Linked DNA regions of Arabidopsis thaliana. The protein of the gene in region 2 interacts with the protein of the main gene of each other region in a pairwise test. Each region holds a gene or a part of one and is shown on either strand. Other genes may lie near its edges.

Region 1 (5,408 bases), on a different chromosome or scaffold from region 2:
GGGATGATAAACCTAAACAAGAAAACCAACAAAGAGTTTCTACAACACAAACGATTTTGAAGTAGAAGCTGTAAACTATATAAGGCATGTAAAAGGAGGAGAGGCCTACCTTGGTTTTGCATTTAACTTTTGGAGCTTCATGTGGATACACAGGAGAGACTTGGAATGTGAAAACAAACGTACCATTGCTGTTTATTTGGTAAGAAAGAAACAAATAAGTTTCCAAAAAGTTTTTAAGAGACAAAAACGCAGGTTTCAGTGGGAAAAAAAGCACTACTTAACTGGTAATATCCATCATCAGGTTTAATGGATACTTCAAAGTTCATCAAATCATCTTTGCCATTTGGAAAAGATATTGAACAAGAGCTAGGAAGGTTCAACTCTGATATATCTGCACAGTTCAAAATCGGAAAAAACACCAAAAATTGAAACTTGGAGATGCAAGAACAAAAAAAAGATCAACAAGGCATTTATATACCTTTGTGAAGACGAAGTTCGCCAGCAGATTGCTTCTTAACAGAAGCTCCTCCTCTAGTAGCATTTTGAGCTTGTTCTCTTTGCTTTTCCTTTACTTTAAACAACCCAATCATTGTTTCTGACTTCTCTTAAGAAACTCACACCCACACACACAGCTGTGACAAATCAAAGAATGAATGATTAATTCTATGACAGATCAAAGAAGACCTTAAAAAATCGATCCTTTCGATATATCAAATCACAACTGCAACTAAACTCATATGCCCACTTTTATATTAATCTTGGTAACATAGCTTATTAGACTTTCACACAATAATTGAATCCCAAATCATAAGATCCCTAAAACAAAGCTATAACCAAAATCTCAGAAATGAAAACGCGTTATTACAAGACAAGCTAATCTACTTTAACAGGTTCAAAGATCGAAGACTTTCCTTCCACATAAGTAGAATCAGAAATCTCAAAACAACGACTAGGTCGAAACATCGAAAGTTAAACACCAAGACAATCAAACAAAGAGAATGAAGGAAGAAGAAGAAGAAGCTTACAAGTTGTTAAATTCGTTGCAAAAACACGAAAATCAAAACGAATTACGAGCGAATTAAAAAGGTCGCCGATTGATTAATCTCTCTCTCTCGCCTACCGGATTGTCGTCCTCTGAAGCTAAACGACGAAGAAACAGCAGAGAAATGGTTGCAATAATAATAAACACACAATCGTAGCTTTTTTCTCGACGCTGAATCAGAATAATTCAAAAATCTCGTACCTGTTTGTTGAGTTCCAGCTTGGCCCATTAAAGCCCGTTAGGCCCATTTCAGTTATATCTATCTTCCAACAATAAATTTGGTAGTTTGCGCGCTTTTAATAAGTTAAAACCAAGCAGTTGTCAGAGATCAACGAGCTCGTGTAAAATGTCCACAAGTGGGACTTGTGACCCGTATGCATTTTTTATGCCATTTTTACTAATTTCGTGTAACAAATCTACAAAACAAGATAATCATTAATCACTACGTAATCATCTAAATTCAATGTGTGGTATAGAAAAAAATAACAGATGAGATTTATGTGTTTAAGATTTTGATATTTTACCAAAACAACAATAGTATATATTTGTGGTATAGAATTGAAAATAAAAAGAAAAAAATCTAAAAAACTGACAAGTAATTTATCTGTAATCTAAGCCAGAAAAATATCATCTTTATGCTATAAAAACATTTTCCATGGACTTAAAAACAATAAAACAAAAACAGTGAAAAAAGAAAAAAGATGCTTTTCAATAAAAGTGAAGATCGTCATCTCCACCACTAACAAGGCCCATTCCGTAACACAACCCTATCTGTTACTTCCTAGCTTCTCACTAATGGCCAATCCAATTCTCCATTCATAATTTTGACTCCACTTTCCAAAAAAAACAAAAAAAAATAAATACTAATATAAAAAATTCTCAAATCTAAAATTTCAGATTTCAGAAATCGCCATGGCTTCAGTGACTCTAGGTTCATGGATTGTTGTTCACCACCACAATCATCATCATCCATCTTCAATCCTTACCAAATCCAGATCCAGATCTTGTCCTATAACTCTTACTAAACCCATCTCCTTTCGATCAAAACGCACCGTTTCATCATCTTCTTCAATCGTTTCTTCTTCCGTTGTTACAAAAGAAGACAATCTACGCCAATCTGAACCATCCTCTTTCGATTTCATGTCGTACATCATCACCAAAGCCGAATTAGTCAACAAAGCTTTAGATTCAGCTGTTCCTCTCCGTGAGCCACTCAAGATCCACGAAGCGATGCGTTACTCTCTTCTCGCCGGTGGCAAAAGAGTTAGACCAGTTCTCTGCATCGCTGCTTGTGAACTCGTCGGAGGTGAAGAATCAACCGCTATGCCAGCAGCTTGCGCCGTCGAGATGATTCACACCATGTCGTTGATCCACGACGATCTCCCTTGTATGGATAACGACGATCTCCGCCGTGGAAAACCGACCAACCACAAAGTGTTTGGTGAAGACGTCGCTGTTTTAGCCGGAGACGCGCTTCTCTCTTTCGCTTTCGAGCATTTAGCTTCGGCGACGAGTTCTGATGTTGTTTCTCCGGTGAGAGTGGTTCGAGCCGTTGGAGAATTGGCTAAAGCGATAGGAACAGAAGGGTTAGTGGCGGGTCAAGTCGTGGATATTAGTAGTGAAGGGTTAGATTTAAACGACGTCGGTTTAGAGCATTTGGAGTTTATCCATTTGCATAAAACGGCGGCGTTGCTTGAAGCTTCTGCTGTTTTGGGAGCTATTGTTGGTGGAGGAAGTGATGATGAGATTGAGAGGTTAAGAAAGTTTGCGAGATGTATTGGTTTGTTGTTTCAGGTGGTTGATGATATCTTGGATGTGACGAAATCGTCGAAAGAGTTAGGGAAAACTGCTGGGAAAGATTTGATTGCTGATAAGTTGACGTATCCTAAGATTATGGGTTTGGAGAAATCGAGAGAGTTTGCTGAGAAATTGAATAGAGAGGCTCGTGATCAGCTTTTAGGGTTTGATTCTGATAAGGTTGCTCCTTTGTTGGCTTTGGCTAATTACATTGCCTATAGACAGAACTGATTTGTGTTCGATTCCTTTTGTCGGGAATCATTATTAGATTGGAATTGTAGAAATCTCGGACAGGTTCTCTAGAGTTTGTTGGTGTAATCATCTCTATGTTTTCATGTACTAAAAAATTTGGATAGTAATGGATGAAATATGAAGAGGTTCATGTGTCTGTAATAGAGTCCCTGGTTGGTTTCAGTCTTTTTGAGTATTAAACTCTCTGTTCTTTTGGCTCGTATTTGTAATGATGAACAATGTGTTTTAGGACAGGAACTCTGGTTGGATCTGATAGATTCGCTAGTTCTTGCCTTATTGGTGTTCAGATTAGTTATCCAAAGGTACGGCGTTGTTTTGGGGCGTAAAACCAATCAAGTCAACGGAGCATACAGAGTTTAAGATGGACCGAGGCGAATACAATACATTAATAATTATTACTATATGTTTCTTGAATGGGCCAATCTCATTTGTTGGTTCCCAAATTAAAAAGCCCAATCCAAAAACAGAGTTCCAAAAAGCCCATTTAATTCTGCTTAGTACCATTTTATTCTGCTTATTCGAAGTCTTATTCTAGCTGGCACCAACAATTTTTATTTTTATTTTATGGCTTTTTCATCGTGAAAATCACTTATTGAATAGCAAACTACTGTTAGTTCGAAATCTGATATATATATATATATATATATATATTTTTTTTTTTTTGGAACTGACTATGATTATAACTTCTAATTAAGTCTTAAGTCTATAATCTTCGAGAATCATCAAAAAATGGCAACTTCAGTTGAATAAAATATGCCACCAACCTAAAACCATATACATCGATTCACCAACTCTCTTATTGGAATCAATGCGATATTCGATCTCAATCTTGTTGTACGATCGACTTCTGCATAGGATTTGCTACATTTGCTCCGTACACAACTTGCCGTTTTATTTATTTATTTAAAATCAATTTTTTACTCATATAAGTAATAAAATTTTATGGTGTATAATCAATGTGTAATGGCTTCCGTTCTTTTCGGAATATCCGTGTCTTGTGGTGTTGGTACAGGTAGCGTGAAAAATTTAGGATTTTTATTCTCACTTTCTTAATAATATCTTTCATTTTTTTTTTTTTGTGAATCTATGTTTTCAGTTCATTTCCTATTCATATATGCCATGTGCTGATGTGCATAGATTCGTCTAATAAGAATATCACATTATAAAAAATATTCTAACGTACGTGAAAATTAGATGTACCAAAATGGTTTATGTGATGTCTCATGTCTTAATTAGACCGAGATAATCGTTGAGTCGGAACTATGTAGTATAAAATAAGTTTGTTGACATAGCAAGGCATATTTAAACAGGGTTTACATGATCTTGATTTAAACACACACTAAATTTTTATTATCTCCATCACCATCAAATTTGAATCAGCAGTACAACCAAGATAACATGTATTTGGATTTAAACGTAAATATCAGGTTTATCATTTTAATTCTACGTGTTTATAAATTATAGAGAAAATTATATTTTAATTCTACGTGTTTATCATTAATTTTATTATTTATTTTTTCAACATGTTTATCCGGTGATGCTATTTTGAAAAACAAATTTGTAGATAAAACAGAAAATGTGGCGACACGTCCGTGTGTTTAAATTTACTGAATTACCTAACCAGACACAGTAGTTACATCCACATTACATCACATTTGTTATCTCTTTATTAGGTGTGCAAAGGATAAAAACGAAAAATGTGGCAACACGTCATTGTTTCAAATATTTACTAAGTTTTCCTTATATAGACATTATTACATCTCAAAAAATCATCTCTTCAACATTACCATTTACTACTAGATGCAAGAGATAATAACAAGATAAAACAGAAAATGTGGCGACACGTTTTTGCCTTTCTTTTTAATTCTGTTGTGTAATTTACTCATAGTCAAATAAGTTATCAAGATATTATATCTTTTTAAAATTTAATCGGACGGTTATTGAGGCATCGAAAGCTATCACCAACATAAATCTATCCACGTGGACGGTAGTCACCTATCAATATTCACGAAAAGGCAGCGTTTATTGAATTTCTCGTGATATATCTGCTGACGTGTATAAGGCCCCACAAGATTTATGTTAAACGTAAAATTAAAACTGTAACAGAGAACTTTGGTTACCTATATAAAGCTCGCTCTTGCTGTTTCATTTTTTCAAGTAGTAACTGAAATCGAATTCATTTTCTTCTCTTCCTTTCTGGGATTTCGATTTTTCGTATTTTTTTTTTGTTCTGTTCGTCATGGTGATGATGAAGAAGCTTTTGTCGAACCGTTTGTTCAATATGTCAAAAACGGCGTCGCAAAGTCTCATGAACTGT
Region 2 (8,593 bases):
CTTGAACTACTCTGTCTATTAAGAAACTTTCTTGGTGTGTATTTGTGCAATGTTTCAAACTTTTTCTGAAGGTTTTGTTTTTCATTTTTATCTTAAAATCGATGCAGAGATCTCAGGTCACGGTTACCGTTTCGGATTCAATCACAAAATGCACTTATCCAAGAAGTCCAGCTTTCAATCTCGGCTTCACTTCAGCTCTCTTTCTGATGATGGCTCAGATAATAGTCAGTGTCTCAAGCGGTTGTTTCTGTTGTAGAAAAGGTCCTGCTCCTTCAAGGTCTAATTGGATTATCTCCTTAATCTGCTTTGTTGTTTCCTGGTAATTCTCATCATTTCTAATCCTTTTCTTGCTTCAAGTTTCCTACTTATAATTTGCTTACAACTAGTGAGTGAGTGATTTCGCGTTACTATAGGTTCACTTTTGTAATAGCTTTCCTCGTGCTGCTTTCTGGAGCTGCACTCAACGATGAACACACCGAGGAATCAATGAATGCTGGTACCTACTTTTGCTACATAGTGAAACCAGGCGTTTTCTCTACCGGTGCTGTGCTTTCGCTTGTTACTATTGCCCTTGGGATTGTCTACTATTTATGTTTGACTTCAAATAAGCAAATTGTTGCTGCCACAACGACCCAAGGAACAGGAATAGCAATGGGGCAGCCTCAGATTCCAGAGAGAGTAGAAGATCCTGTTTTTGTTCATGAGGATACTTACATGAGAAGACAGTTCACTTAAAAACAGACAAAGCTTGCTTGTAAAGCACGTTAGGTTTAGTAGAAGATTTAGACAAAATGATTAACGGATATGTGTTTGATTAAGAGTATTGAAACTTTGTAATGATTGTTATTCTTGATTGAAGTAGAAATCTTTGAGAACCCCAAAAACGTCACTTAGTTTTGTAGTTTTTTTCTCTGAATCTTTCTTATTTATTATGCAAGTCAAAAGTGGTTGTTGGGAAGAGAAGTGTTCGTCTCATTTACAACAAAAATTCGATAGCGATATATAGTAATCGAAATTTTATTCCCAAACAAGGGAACTTTGTTATTGATAGTTGGAACTAAAAGTTTGTAGAGAAATTTCAATGATACATATCCACCGTTAGAGGAACAACCACCACATGTTCTACCCAACCCTCACAACAACCAGTTTCTTCAAATCTTGAGTCTAATAAAATGCCAACACATCTACTCTCATTTCTTCTCATTTATAAACCAGTTTGATAGACAAGATATTAATAAGTGCATATAGTAAAATCTTTCTTATTCGTAACAAAGTTATTGTAAACTTATAGAATGGTTGTGAAACTATATGGACAGGTAACAGCAGCTTGTCCACAAAGAGTCTTGCTTTGTTTTCTCGAGAAAGGAATTGAATTTGAGATTATTCATATCGATCTTGATACATTTGAGCAAAAAAAACCAGAACATCTTCTTCGTCAGGTAAAAAAAACAAATTTCTTAAACTTAAAACATAAATATATTATAATTATTGTTTTCATGTGTAGCCATTTGGTCAAGTTCCAGCCATAGAAGATGGAGATTTCAAGCTTTTTGGTAACATCCTAATAACAACATTTTATAAACATTCTTCTATCATTTTCTTTATAGTGTTTTGAAATTTGGCTCTTTATCTTCTAAGAATCACGAGCCATCGCGAGATACTACGCTACCAAGTTCGCGGACCAAGGCACGAACCTTTTGGGCAAGTCTCTAGAGCACCGAGCCATCGTGGACCAGTGGGCTGACGTGGAGACCTATTACTTCAACGTTCTGGCCCAACCCCTCGTGATTAACCTAATCATCAAGCCTAGGTTAGGCGAGAAATGTGACGTCGTTTTGGTCGAGGATCTCAAAGTGAAGCTAGGAGTGGTCTTGGACATATACAATAACCGGCTTTCTTCGAACCGGTTTTTGGCTGGTGAAGAATTCACTATGGCTGATTTGACGCACATGCCGGCGATGGGGTACTTGATGAGTATAACCGATATAAACCAGATGGTTAAGGCTCGGGGTAGTTTTAACCGGTGGTGGGAAGAGATTTCGGATAGACCGTCTTGGAAGAAGCTTATGGTGCTGGCTGGTCACTGAATTAGCTCCAATTTATGATGATCTGAAGAACCAAATAAGCTTTATAGTTTCTGTTTTATGTTTGTGTTGTTTTGTACGTTTCAGTAATAAATTCAATATACTTTTAAGATTCATGTCAATGCTAAGACCATAGTTCTCTATTCTTAAGTTTTTACTCTATTTTTGAGTGAGATATAAAATGGGGTTAAAATAGAAGTGGAGTTTTTACATAGTATACAAGGTTACTCACTTGTACTATTATTCGAATATAAGAAGAACTTCTTTCTGTATGTATATCACAAGATTATTTCATCAACCAAAAATTGTATATCCCCTCATTAGGCCAAGAGAACTATAACTAAAATAAAATTAAAAAAAAAAATACTTTTTTACATTCAGAAAGATAATGTAACATTATAAGAATTTGCTTCCCCATTAATATGTATATATTAGTTAACATAATAAATTCGAGCCTAAGTTTTTTCTTAATCACAAAAAGCGCTCTTAGGTTGTTTTTGTTCCACTTTCCTCTCGCTCTCATATCGATAGTCTTGAACTTGAAGTCTTTAGTACTGATTTAGCATAAGCCAATGGCAAAGCTGCAATTTTCTTGACTTTCCCCACATAAGCTCTCTTAGTAAAATTGTTGTAATCATTCGCTTCAATCTCGTCCAGTATTCTCCTGTACAATAGCAATGAAGCCCATACCTGAAACATTGCAGCCAAGTCCTCGGGGTTAAAATCGATCCAAAAGAAATAAGTAAACGGTAAACTTGCGGCTGAAGAGTGTTTTAGAGACACTTACAGGCCATCTGCTAGCGGCACTGAGCTCGGTGACGCCTTTCTCAGCTTCGTCGAAGAACATTCTTGCTCGTTTAAGCTGCATTTTCATGAAGTTTCTCCATTTATCAGTTACTTTTCCGGCGAATATGTCTTCATCTGAAAGACCAGCCTGAGCCAATTCATCCTGAGGCAGATAAACCCTTCCTCTTCTCGCACTGATAGTGAGAACAAAACCAATTTAAGAGAGATATGTGAATCAAGAAACCGGTTTAAAAGAAGCATGTGAAATCAAGAAACCGGTTTAAGTGAGATATGTGAAATCAAGAAACCAAAGCTCTATTTAAAATATATAAAAAGACTCACTCTTCGCCTACGTCTCTGAGTATGTTAGTAAGCTGATTGGCTATACCAAGGGCCAAGGCAGCGTTGTAAACACTTTCGGTTGTTGCTTTCGACTTAGGATCGATTCCCATAACCGGAACGCTCATCAATCCGACGGTTCCAGCGACGTAGTAGCAGTAAAGGTATAGATCATCGAAGTTCTGGTATCTCGATTTCTTCAAGTCCATTCTCATTCCTTCGATCATGTCTCGAAATGGCTGCAACATAAATAAACATTAGACCAAAGTTTTATAAGGTTTATTGCAATGGACTGAATGCAACTCTTAACTCATGTAATGAAATGAGGAAGTAAGATAAGACAGAGCAAGGCTGACCTGAATATCGACCGGGTATCTAGCAACTGTATCAGCGAGAGCAGCATCAAGCATATCGAAAGGACGACCACGGAAAAGATCTTCTAACCTTGCTTCCCATCTATCTAAAGCCATGGGAGTTATATGTGAAGCATTTGGCCCATCCACAAGTTCATCAGTTCTTCTACACCAAACTGCACAAAAGACAGAGTAAAACTATCAAATTCAAACCAATCAAACATATAAGAAAACAACTTTAAAATTCCCCATATGCTTTGGATACTAGTATGTCCTAGACAGGGGGTCATTAGAGTAAAATCTCCAGAGTTTAAGACCATTGGGCCAAAAAAGCCCATTAAAAACCCATATTAGTAACTTTTTTTTTTTTGGACAAACCCATATTAGTAACTAAGCTAGTCTTTTTGGGTCTTTATTCTTTATCTTCAAAGGGTGCAAATTTGGATGCTTGGTGTTCATGGACTTATCTTAGACACAAGGTAACCACACAAACTAACTAGAGACCTATCTTTCTACATGAGTGTAAGATTCAAGGAATCTATTTCAGCTTCAACTTCTCTTGTTAAGACAACTTAACTAGATACTAACCAAGAGCCACAATAGATTGTTTGTAGAAATCTACTTTGAGCATCACTTTATCCTACAATTATAATCAATGTTGACAATGCAAATATTCTAAAACAGCTCTTCAACCATTGGTTTTGTGCAGTAACTTACCGTAGATTGCCCAAATCGCCTTTCGCCTTTCGGGTGTCATAAGCAAAGTTCCTGCAACACAAACATTAGAACTCAGAACACCACTCTACATTACACCAAAGCCAAAGAAGAGTTAAAAAGATCCATACCAAGATAAAACGTCTTAGCATATTCAGCGCAAACTTCACCGCATCGATCATAAGCTTCACCCAACAAACTCAAACTCCCAGGAAGAACAACATCTTGTGGTTTCTTCACATCAAGGTCATAAGAAGAAGACCTTAGCTGTTTGTTCACCAAAGCAGCTTGTTTCAACACAACATTGTAAACCTTCTCTTCAGATGAAAGAGCTATCTCTCCAGAAGGACTTGCTACTAAGCTTGAAGACACAACACCAATTCTTCTACTTCGGTTCCTTACAAAAGAAGAACTCCAAGTTGGTATCTGCTTCTTCTTACCTTTGTTTAGTCTCTGATTCTGACAAGGAGAGAACAGTCTAGAAGATTCTAGAACCCTTACCAACCCACAATTGTTCATTGGGTCTGGATTTAGAGAAGAAGTAGCAACCCATAACACTGCTACAGAAGAAGACATACTCAAGTTCTTGAGCGCGTGAGAGAAAAATCTCAACTTTTTTAGTTTTCTTCTGTTGACTCTGTTTCTTCTACAGTTAGAAGAATCAAACTCCCAACTTTTTTTCAGTGAAACCCAGAATTGGATCAAACTGGTAAAAGACTAAAGCTTTCCTGCAAATTGAATACAAAAACAAGTAGATTAGGAATCGAGATCTCTAAATCTGTATATAAAGCCAAATTTAAGCGAGATGAGAAACTCAATTTCTTCAAGCAAGTAAAATAGCGAAGAGACACAAACATAAAGAGGAAGATCTTCAAAAGCAAATGAAGAACATGAAAAGAGAAAAAACAAGTAAATCCTCTAATCGTATTGGCTAAATACTCAACTGGGTTCAACTATTTTCCACTCGAAAACAAATTAGATTATGTATCGTTGTGTTACATCAACATTAGGTATAAGAGCCCAAAAGTATCAAAACAGTGAACCACATGGCAGATGAAGCTTAACCAAACGAGCGAAAATGAGTGATGGACACAAAAGCCTACCTTTCTCTCTGTAAGAACAATAGATACTGCGACAAAACTTTGAAGAAGAAGGAGAAGGAGGAGGAGATTGTCAAACACTAAATTAATCAAAAGGAAGAGCAAAAGGTTTGACCCATTAATGTGAGAAGATCCTCAAGAAGTTATATTGCAACGCTTACTGTAATATATGTACACAGACAACACAAGTAGATGATGCTGTCTCTTCCTCTATCGTAAAAAATTCTCACCCACTCAAATTTTCTTCCTTCTTTGTCTTTTTTTTTTTTTTTTGCTGGGTTTTAATGAGAATCTTGCCAGTATAAATACAAAAGTCGTTATTTTTATTTTTTGGGTCTATATAGTTTTTTAATTTAGTTTTTGACTGGCGAGATGCGACTCTCGAGTGACTCGTGTCTTAAATCAAACCTTAATAGTTTTCAAATAAAGGTAACTATCCCAATATTAAAACCCATTACCTATTTAACATGTTTTCTCTTCTTTTTCTTGGCCAAATTTATGTCTTATTATTTAGCTAAATTGATTCCTGATCAATTAGAAAGTTTGGTTAATTACATGTTTGATTTATTCATCAATTGGGCAACAGGTTGTAATTGTAAATTAATAGCTCTAAATTGATATTTGTATTACAATATTTCTTATATAAATGTAATTTAAGCCTTTATTTGATATATATTATTTAAAGCAACATTAGAAAATGATGTGATTTTAGCCTATTATAGTATTCAAAAATACAGAAAGTGTATTTATTTCTAATTTACATTCTTTTTTCTAAACTTTGTAAGTTTTCAATTCAAAAACAGAAACTACATCATCAAATTTAACAGATATATTACAAATAGTGATAAAAATGTGACGAAACATATATGTCGTTTACTAAATCGTATTCAATATAAACATTTATCGGTACTCGGTGAATTAATTTTAAAGAAAAAATGATAAAGTAATAATAATTTCACAAAAATGTGCAATTGTACATGAAGATTGAAGAACTCTATTAGAAACATTAATTTCATGTGAATTTATATTTTAGATATTTAGATTGTAATAAAAAAAAAAATTGTCCCTATTGGTGATGCTATGTTAACAAACTCAGCCTAAACCAAATAAGGATGTAAATACATATATGTTGTGGAAAGAAAAAAAAAAGAGGCATAATCATGGTAAAATACATGTTGTGTTACGAAACGTAACTATATATATACAGTAGCTTTGGATCATTGCTAAAATTCTACGAGGGTTGCGTAGAAAACTTGATCCATCTCACTATTTTATGGATTACCTTTCAAAATGTATAACGTTTTTTGTAATAACGTGGATTTTGCTACGAACATGATGAATCAAGAGTGACGCATTTTGTTGTGGAAGAAAAAGTGAGACATGTCACTATGGAGATGGGATCAATAGTTATTTAATTACATAATTAAAATATAATTAGAATATTATATAAGTCATTAAGTAATTGTTGGTAGAAAGGACAATAGGGGTTTAGGGGTGGGGTCATGCCAGTTTGGGTAAAAAAGGATTAGCAGAAGAGAGATCAGAGAGATGCCACGTGGAGCCTACGGCCAATGGGAGAGCGATAAGCTTATCAAAGATTTCAAAGTGCGGAGGGTAAAGTGGGCGACGTTGCTTTTCCACGTGTCAATGTTTCATTGGTAGGAAAAGTTAAAAGTTAGATTTCCGCTTAGTCGGTATTTGGGTCCCATACTGTCTTCGCAACTTGGCCCTCTCTCTTGCGCTCAGAAGGTTTTGTCTTTTAAGTTTCTTCTTGATTTTGGTTTTATCCTTTGTTATTTTTAGTCTGGTCCGTATTTTCTCCGTATCTTGTTTCAAATACATTCTCTCGTAAAGAAACCGCTTTTTTTGGTTTAGTACTGAATGATAAAAGTATTGTTTTCGTACGAAATTTATGTCAACCGCCCTAGTTCTAGAGGATCACCTAGACCATATGCATGGGACTTGGTCGAGCTTCGATGTGGATTAGCCCGAGTTATCAATAGAATACTGAAAATTGGCATAATTAACTTTGATTTAATGGAAATGCGTTTTTATAATATACTGAAAATTTAACAGACATGATGATTGATGAGTAGTAAATTTCAAATGGTATAACAAGTTTAATTGTTTTTTTAGTAAGTTATATATACTGACCAAGACGTTTTTGTTTGAGTCAGTGACTATCACTCTTTGTTTTTACTCAACTTAATTCCATAGATCCTGGTACTTATAACGTGTACAATCTAGAATCACAAGCGTTTAGAGATAGTGATAATTAGCTTGGCTACTTTCTCAGCTGTGTTGTTGCTTGATCGAAGGTGGAAAATGAGAGTGGTCATATTGAAGTTCTTGCTTAGTGCTATTGTTAATAGAACGGTTGGAGAGCCGGCCAAGCTTATGGATAATATATTTATATATGGAGAATGAGAATAACATAAAGATGAGACATGGTTGAACCTAATTAATCAAAAAAACAATTTACATGAATTTTTTTTCTTTAAAAGATTTCAATCTGTAACATGCATAGAAACTTGTCTCATAACCCTCGTAGTCGTATAGCAAGCATTAGTTTTATGATAGAGATGTTTCGGTTACGAAAGAAAATTTAAACCAACTTAAGTGGTTGTAAATCACGTTGTAATTTTTATGTTTATGTACAATTTCAAATTACAAATCTTCATTTTTAATTATAATCTTTGCCACTGAAATTCACGATAATATCACTAAGGTTCGATGCAATTCGTCAAACATTTCACGTACTAAAATTTGTTCGGCGAGTGATGGAGACATAGATGTAAATGGAAACGTGTACTCGTAAATTGTGTCATCTTTCGTGGCCCATAAAATTGAGATGGAGTTTTATCGTTTTCTATATCAAATAATGTAAATAACTGAATAAAAAAGGTTTTATTATAAAAAGTACCAAAGAAATGGACCGTAGTCACCATTTACATGGTTACATGGTTACATGGCGCGACACGTAGTGTCACTTAATGCTGCAAGTGTTTTTTCCTCTTTGTTTTTTGCCTCCCTGAATATTTTAAATTTGGTATATAAAATATTTCTGCTGACGAGTTTTAGTTACTCTAGTTTCTAAAATGGTCTAGAAAAAGTTGTGATATATAAATATAATAACTCGGTAATGGCTACGTACAGAGTCAGCCACGTAACACTAAATGGATGTGTCATGGACCCGTATTACACTCCCCATTATACA
Region 3 (6,415 bases), 3.8 Mb from region 2:
AACCATCATCTAATGGGCAGCGCTCTCGGGAAATTATTGCAACTTCGGTGTCTTTGAACTTTATGGTGACCGGGCTCTTGCGGATGCACTTGATATTGCGTTGAAGATGACCCTTGCAATACCCTTGGCAGATATATTAGCATATCGCAAGGTATGTGTGGCATTGCGTTTTCCACGTGCCTCCAATAATTTCATTTGGTGATCAAATCAACACGTTTTTGATATTGTTTGCATTATCTGAATTATGTTTACTCTGAATTCTTTCTTTGTCGTTATAAAATCTCTAATCTTTATAGTCTTCCTTTCATCCTTCAGCTTACAAAGGCATACTTTGGGTTCGTCGAGGTTTTGTGTGCCAGTCATATTACCTTCATATTGAAACTGGACACTGCAACCTTTATGCATCTCGTAGGTTCCCTTGAATCTGGACTCAAGGGGTTGGACACAAGTATTTCATCACAGGTGAGAATTGTGACAAAACTGTTAAGACACATCAATTTATCAAGAAATTCTTAAAGCTTTAAGCTGCAAAAGATATTCCTCGAAATGCAACTTTCTGAAGCATTGATATCTATTATCCTTTCAGTGTGCAATAGCTGTCGACAATCTTGCTTCATATTATTTCAATAACATCACAATGGGTGAGGCACCTACTACTCCAGCTGCTATTCGTTTTGCACAGCACATTGCAGACTGTCCGAGTTTGTTCCCCGAGGTAACTCATTACACTCCTCAATCTCTCTTTGTTAAATTGAACACAATAATGATGGGCTATAATGCCTTTTAACAAATATCCTCTTACAAGCAGATATTGAAGACACTGTTTGAAATAGTTTTATTCGAGGATTGTGGCAATCAGTGGAGTCTCAGCAGACCAATGTTAAGCTTGATTCTTATAAGTGAGCAGGTATGTGTAATTTATACATTTATCTCTCTTGTGCAGTTTTCTGTTCCGAATGAGCTTTGTTGTTCATTCATCTAACTTATTTCAATTGATTTCCCCAGATTTTCTCTGATCTGAAAGCTAAGATCCTCTCATCACAGGTGATGATCCAAAATTCTATATCTATATATATTTTACCCCTGAGTGTTGCTTTTTGTGTATGCCTTAGAGCATTATTCTAATGGTGCAGCCTGCGGATCAACACCAGCGACTCTCTGCCTGCTTTGACAGTCTTATGACAGACATATCGCGGGGATTAGATTCAAAGAACAGAGACAAGTTCACTCAGAACTTGACCCTTTTCAGACACGAGTTCCGCGTTAAATAAAATCGGCCAAACACAGTCCCTGAGCCACAGTCTACTACATTAGGGGTCTCATCAAAAAGACCCACATGACACAGTGAACCAGAAATCTTCAGAAGTTAAAAAATGGAAAAACAAAAAAGTAGTCTCGAGATTGTGGTACTGTACAGTTTCTTTATTCTCTCAGAAGAAAGGGTAATATGAAGAAAGATTTACGTTTTGGTGGTTTCCTCGCAATTGTGGCTTAATTCATCATTGGGATTTATTTTGTCTCTTGTCAGCCCCATAACAAGGTTGATGTAAAACATTGAAATCTAGGGTTTACTTTTGCAAATGTTGGGAGCAGTTAGGTCACATATTCTTTGTAATGGTAAACAAATCTGAAAGAAAATGCAGTATTTGTTTTGTTTATTGTCTGGATTTTCGTATAACTCTCTAGTATTTATTAGCCTATATTGCTCATACAGTAACTCTTGCATTACTGCATACCACAACATAGATGGCTTTCGAAAATGAAAAAAAAAACTTTACACAAGGAATATATAACACAAATCTTGAAAATTAGGGAGTTTATTCAAAATGTTCTTCTTCAGCGAGGGCTTGATGTAACACAAAGGAAGAAATTGCCGGCGATAATTTCTTATAAATTAGGGTTTCCATGAGGACGCTGTAGTCATTTGGCACTTTTTTAATACAAAAGAATTCTTTAAAATAGTAAAATAATTGACAGCTGTGGGATTTGAACCCACGCCCTTTCGGACCAGAGCCTAAATCTGGCGCCTTAGACCACTCGGCCAAACTGTCTTGTTGTATTTACACATCGATTTGTAATGAATTAACCTACATTATCCGGTTGGCAAGAAAGTTTGTGAATTAATAATCGAAGTGTAAATACAACAAGACAGCTTATGATGACGGAGTTGATGGCTACTATATATCCTATTATCTTCACCGGAGATCATCTGGTGAATTTTTTTAGTTTGTGAAGAAGTACTTTACATAACCGATACTTTCCCATGTTTACTATAGACAAAAGTTAAAAATTCTAATGTTACTTTTATTATGTAATTACTTTTATTATGTAAAACATTTATATGACGAGGTTTGGCTCTCCTCAGTTCTCATAGGCTTGGCTTAGCTTTTGCAAGGACCAATTTCAAAGGAGGCCATTGTTTTCTAATCGAAAGGGTCAAAGCGGGGGTCATGCTCGCTAGCTGTTACCATCCCGGTGCAAAGACATGTCGGACACATCACCTGATTCATATACAAATACACATTTCAACATTACAAGGACAACAATGAATTATATAATACTCAGATCAGATTGCATGAAATAGAGAGAATCTTACCTTTCCTGCGCCGGAACAATTTAGACATCTTTTTGTGGTCGCGACCTGCATAAGCTGGTTTGTAGCTCTAGGTCTTGTGATGGGATCAATGCTCAAACACACACCACTAGCTGAGCATCGAGCGCATGGCAAGTATCCTATTATCATGTGAACACAGACCAGTGAGCATTTCTCCAACTCATTTTGAGAAGTAATTCGAAGAAAAAATCAAGAATTTTCATGATATATACAATAAAATTACCAGTCCCAAGGCAGTATTTGCACCTCTTCTTCTCTTGTTGTTTAACATTGTTAACTTCGATTAGCATCAAGGTTGAAATGACTCCCACGGCCCCGCCAGAAAAAGATGCCACAATTGGATCTACCTGGCTACATTACAGAACAAAAAAAAAAAAAAAATCAATGTCGCTGTTTCAGATTCAGGACAAGTAAAGTTGACTAGTTTGACTATGTTTTCAATCATATTAGTCTTCAAGCTACTGAACTAGTAGTAGTACCTTAATTGCAAGGGTAGATGTAAGCTCCTTATAAAATCTTCATAAGAGGTTCCTCCAAGTCCTACCTTCAGTTCCAGCTGCCATGTAAAATCATCAATTTATCATTCAAGGATTAGAAAAAACAAGAATAGCTATTGTTCTTCTGGTAAAGTTACAGTAACTCAATAAAAAACCAAAAAACTGTATACATCACAAAGAAGGAAAAATAGTAATCTCCACAATCTGTTGCTATCAACAAAAAGCAAGTATATTTAGATTAATGTGCCATTGTTGTTGCATCACTAATAACTTGATGGATCCTGCAAAATATAGCCAGGAAAGTAAATGCATATATTTTAAAGAGCTCTCGTGCATTGTTGTAAGATTAGTAGGGTTCTAAGAGCTGCAGTAAACTGAGATGACTGTGTGAAAAGCATATTAACTCAAACAAAATCTAGAGCTTTGATATTGCTATAGGCGAACATAAAGAAAGAAACGTGGAGTCTACTACTCTTGTACTTACATTAGGTGCAATGAGACCACCAAAGAAGATAATTCCCGATATCAATGCAACGCTGGTCGAATAGAGTTGTTTCAAAGTCTTTGGTGTCTATATCAAAAGATAAGAAGCAGAGACAAAGAAGAGTTAAAACAGAAGGGAATATCAAAAACTGAACAAGAGACCGTTTCATAATTTGTAACTGACCACATTAGGGAGGAAAGGAATAGAAGATGTGATCTCAGGCATCTCGGTAGCCTCGAGCTCACTGTCCTCATTGATGGCTTTAACACTCTTGATACGTTGCTGCACACGTAACCTCCTCACTTCCTCCATGAGGAGAAATATCTTATTGCGTCTACTCCTTATGTTATCTTGGATTTCCTGAAGCTGCATCTGCACAAAGTCTTGAACTGTCTCTGATCCCTCAATGATACAGAAGTTACTGAAACAATATCCACCAAACAAATAATCTATTACCAGTTAGAATCAAAATGATAATCGTTATACACGCTATAGATCATATACATAGCTACAAGGCTCCCACTTAATCACTAATCGAGCTCTCAAACAATAGATATCGATTTGGCCAAACCCAGGTGAAATTTGAAGATGAAACCTAGAATTCATCAATAAAGGAAGAAATCAGAGGAACTTGCTTTGGGACGGTGTCACCGGAGGGAGGAGGACGGTTGTTGCTGCCGTCTGAACAGGAGAGGAGAGAGCGAGATGAGCCATGGAAGAGAAGACTGGGGCTAGGTTTCAGATAAGATGAGGGAAATCGAAGCAGGGATTTGGAAGTAGATGGAGAAGAAAGTAGAAGATGATGGCGATGAGGAGTAGCAGAAGAGAAGCACGTCATCTTCTTCTCGCCCAACGCTTTTTGCTGTCTATCGTCTTCTTCGGATAATTTTTTTAAGTTATTGCAACTTTTTGGAACCCTCCGATCACTACGAAGGTTACCATTTTGGGCTAAAAGTTAGGCCTAAACAAACTCTAACCGAACCAGCAACATATCTTAAAATGACACAGTTGTGATCTGCAGCATCCAACATAAGAAGATTCAATATACTAGCAGTATCATGTTAGTGAATTGGGAAAGTTGTAATCTAAAATAAAATTGTTATATGAACGTTTAGGAGAGTAATAATGACGCATATGTATCTTCTTTACAAGTGGAAACAAGCCAAGTTAACTAAACTTGAAGTTGACAAAAAAACACCAGAATTTCTCACAAAAACAAACTGCCTCTAGACACAAACCCTCTCATGAAGGAACACACACAGACACAGGTAAGTTTAGTTTTGGATTTAGACAGAATAAGAAGCTTCAAGTTTGGGAAGAAGGGATCTCCAAGCATCCGCGACACTGTTTGCTAAGCGAGCTTGTCCTTTCGCAAACTGATGGAATGCCACTCCCATCTCTTCCGTCTTCTGCTCTTGAAACCTTACTATCTCATCTTCCATTCTCTTTACTATCCTCTCAAATCTTCTCGTGGCTTCCTCACTTTCTGCTTTTATCTGCATTGTTGCGGTATACACCACAAGTTCAAGCACCCAAAAGCATTACTACAAAATTTTCAAGGATTGTTTTGAGTTCTTCTTACCTCTCTGTATTCGATCTCAGCTTCTCCTACTTTGTCTGAACGTGTGAGCATGAGTTTGTCACTACAATAACAGACGAGAATTTCTATAATGTTCTACGACGATTGTTGACAGAGAAGACAAAAAGGGAGAGAAGCCATCATACAGATTTATTTCTTTTAACTTTGTTGTTTCTGACAATTCACAATGTTGTTTGAAAGCAGTGCCTCGTTCTGCTATTGTTGCCTGGAAAAGCAAAATATGGAAACAAAAAGGTAAGAGTTTAGTACCAGCAAAACGAAACCATGAAAGAGAAATCAATCCCACAGGCAAAGGCTAGAGAACTCACCTTAATCGATTGTACATAACGAACATAGTCCTTCAAGGGTTCCTCGAAGTTCATCAGGACTTGTTGAGCCTACAAATAGTGCAAGATAGGTCAATAAAAGCATCTAGGAATATAGAATAGATGAATTTCGCCAAGATATATACATTTCTTACTATAATGATTTAGAAAAAAAGAAGAAGATGATCTAGTCTTACAAACTTAATACCTCTTTCTGGAGCTTAATCGATAACAGTTCAGATTTAGTTCCAAGATCGGAAAATGCTTTTCCTGTAGGTTCACCCTCACAAGCCCCAAGAAGTTTTACAGCCTTGCCAAAATCCAACAGTGATTGACCCAACTCTGCCAATAGGTTGATACAGCATTAAAACTGAAGATCCATTCATGCGGTTGGGAAAGAGAAAACAGAAAACATAACAGAATTTATATAGACTAAATTCTGATTTGTGATATTTTTATTACCTCTATGCCTCTTGACTAGGCGATACGCATGCTTCTGAGCCTCAGTCAAGTGGTTCTCAAGCTCGAAAATGTAATGTTTAAGCTTCTCGTAGTCAGCAGTAGTTTCTTCAACAGGTTTTTCTTTTCCAAGGACAGCATCACTAACTTTTGACTGGACATCCTGTCAATAGTGCAGATATGGCAGTAAGATGATGGCGCACCACAAAGGTCAATAAAGAGCAGAAAAATAATATTTACATGGTCAGAAAAAACATTCTTACCCTAAACATTTGCATTAGATCTGCAGGCTTCTTGAATATACTAGTTTCCTGAAACCTGAATCTGTCCATTGTCTGACGAGAAAAGTAAACTGTCATTAGAGACAAGAACCTTCTAATATGCAAATTGCAGTCCTTCCAGTAGGAAAAAAGAAGAAGCATTCTACGAGCATTTTTATGTGAAGATGATGTAGTA

The links. Proteins that work in one complex are often made in the same cells at the same time.
Region 1: the proteins of PSY (region 2) and GGPS1 interact in a two-hybrid assay, tested with the Arabidopsis thaliana proteins (one study listed by BioGRID).
Region 3: the proteins of PSY (region 2) and AT5G06130 interact in a two-hybrid assay, tested with the Arabidopsis thaliana proteins (one study listed by BioGRID).

What each region holds. Positions count from the first base shown.
Region 1 is NC_003075.7:17,341,559-17,346,966, forward strand, and holds GGPS1 (geranylgeranyl pyrophosphate synthase 1), read left to right. Parts: upstream 1-1,815; 5' UTR 1,816-1,954; coding exon 1,955-3,070; 3' UTR 3,071-3,307; downstream 3,308-5,408. Other genes in the region: RCE1 (RUB1 conjugating enzyme 1), read right to left, coding at 1-12, 110-188, 283-391, 479-590; AT4G36820 (calcium uniporter (DUF607)), read left to right, coding at 5,331-5,408. UniProt on the Arabidopsis thaliana protein: Heterodimeric geranyl(geranyl)-diphosphate (GPP) synthase large subunit. In vitro, the large subunit catalyzes mainly the trans-addition of the three molecules of IPP onto DMAPP to form geranylgeranyl pyrophosphate while the small subunit alone is inactive.
Region 2 is NC_003076.8:5,657,236-5,665,828, forward strand, and holds PSY (PHYTOENE SYNTHASE), read right to left. Parts: upstream 5,631-8,593; 5' UTR 5,221-5,630; exon of another isoform or gene 5,005-5,220; 5' UTR 4,853-5,004; coding exon 4,408-4,852; intron 4,331-4,407; coding exon 4,280-4,330; intron 4,196-4,279; coding exon 4,151-4,195; intron 3,739-4,150; coding exon 3,566-3,738; intron 3,449-3,565; coding exon 3,213-3,448; intron 3,065-3,212; coding exon 2,872-3,064; intron 2,775-2,871; coding exon 2,604-2,774; 3' UTR 2,378-2,603; downstream 1-2,377. Other genes in the region: AT5G17210 (transmembrane protein, putative (DUF1218)), read left to right, coding at 108-319, 414-735; GSTF12 (glutathione S-transferase phi 12), read left to right, coding at 1,293-1,439, 1,505-1,553, 1,639-2,087. UniProt on the Arabidopsis thaliana protein: Catalyzes the reaction from prephytoene diphosphate to phytoene.
Region 3 is NC_003076.8:1,851,331-1,857,745, forward strand, and holds AT5G06130 (chaperone protein dnaJ-like protein), read right to left. Parts: upstream 4,649-6,415; 5' UTR 4,434-4,648; coding exon 4,231-4,433; exon of another isoform or gene 4,017-4,230; coding exon 3,779-4,016; intron 3,683-3,778; coding exon 3,596-3,682; intron 3,171-3,595; coding exon 3,094-3,170; intron 2,966-3,093; coding exon 2,838-2,965; intron 2,734-2,837; coding exon 2,597-2,733; intron 2,502-2,596; coding exon 2,424-2,501; 3' UTR 2,102-2,423; downstream 1-2,101. Other genes in the region: AT5G06120 (ARM repeat superfamily protein), read left to right, coding at 21-151, 316-462, 587-715, 809-907, 1,006-1,044, 1,113-1,271; SNX1 (sorting nexin 1), read right to left, coding at 4,882-5,091, 5,178-5,238, 5,321-5,400, 5,504-5,572, 5,709-5,842, 5,963-6,122, 6,223-6,294. UniProt on the Arabidopsis thaliana protein: May be associated with accumulation of carotenoids in chromoplasts.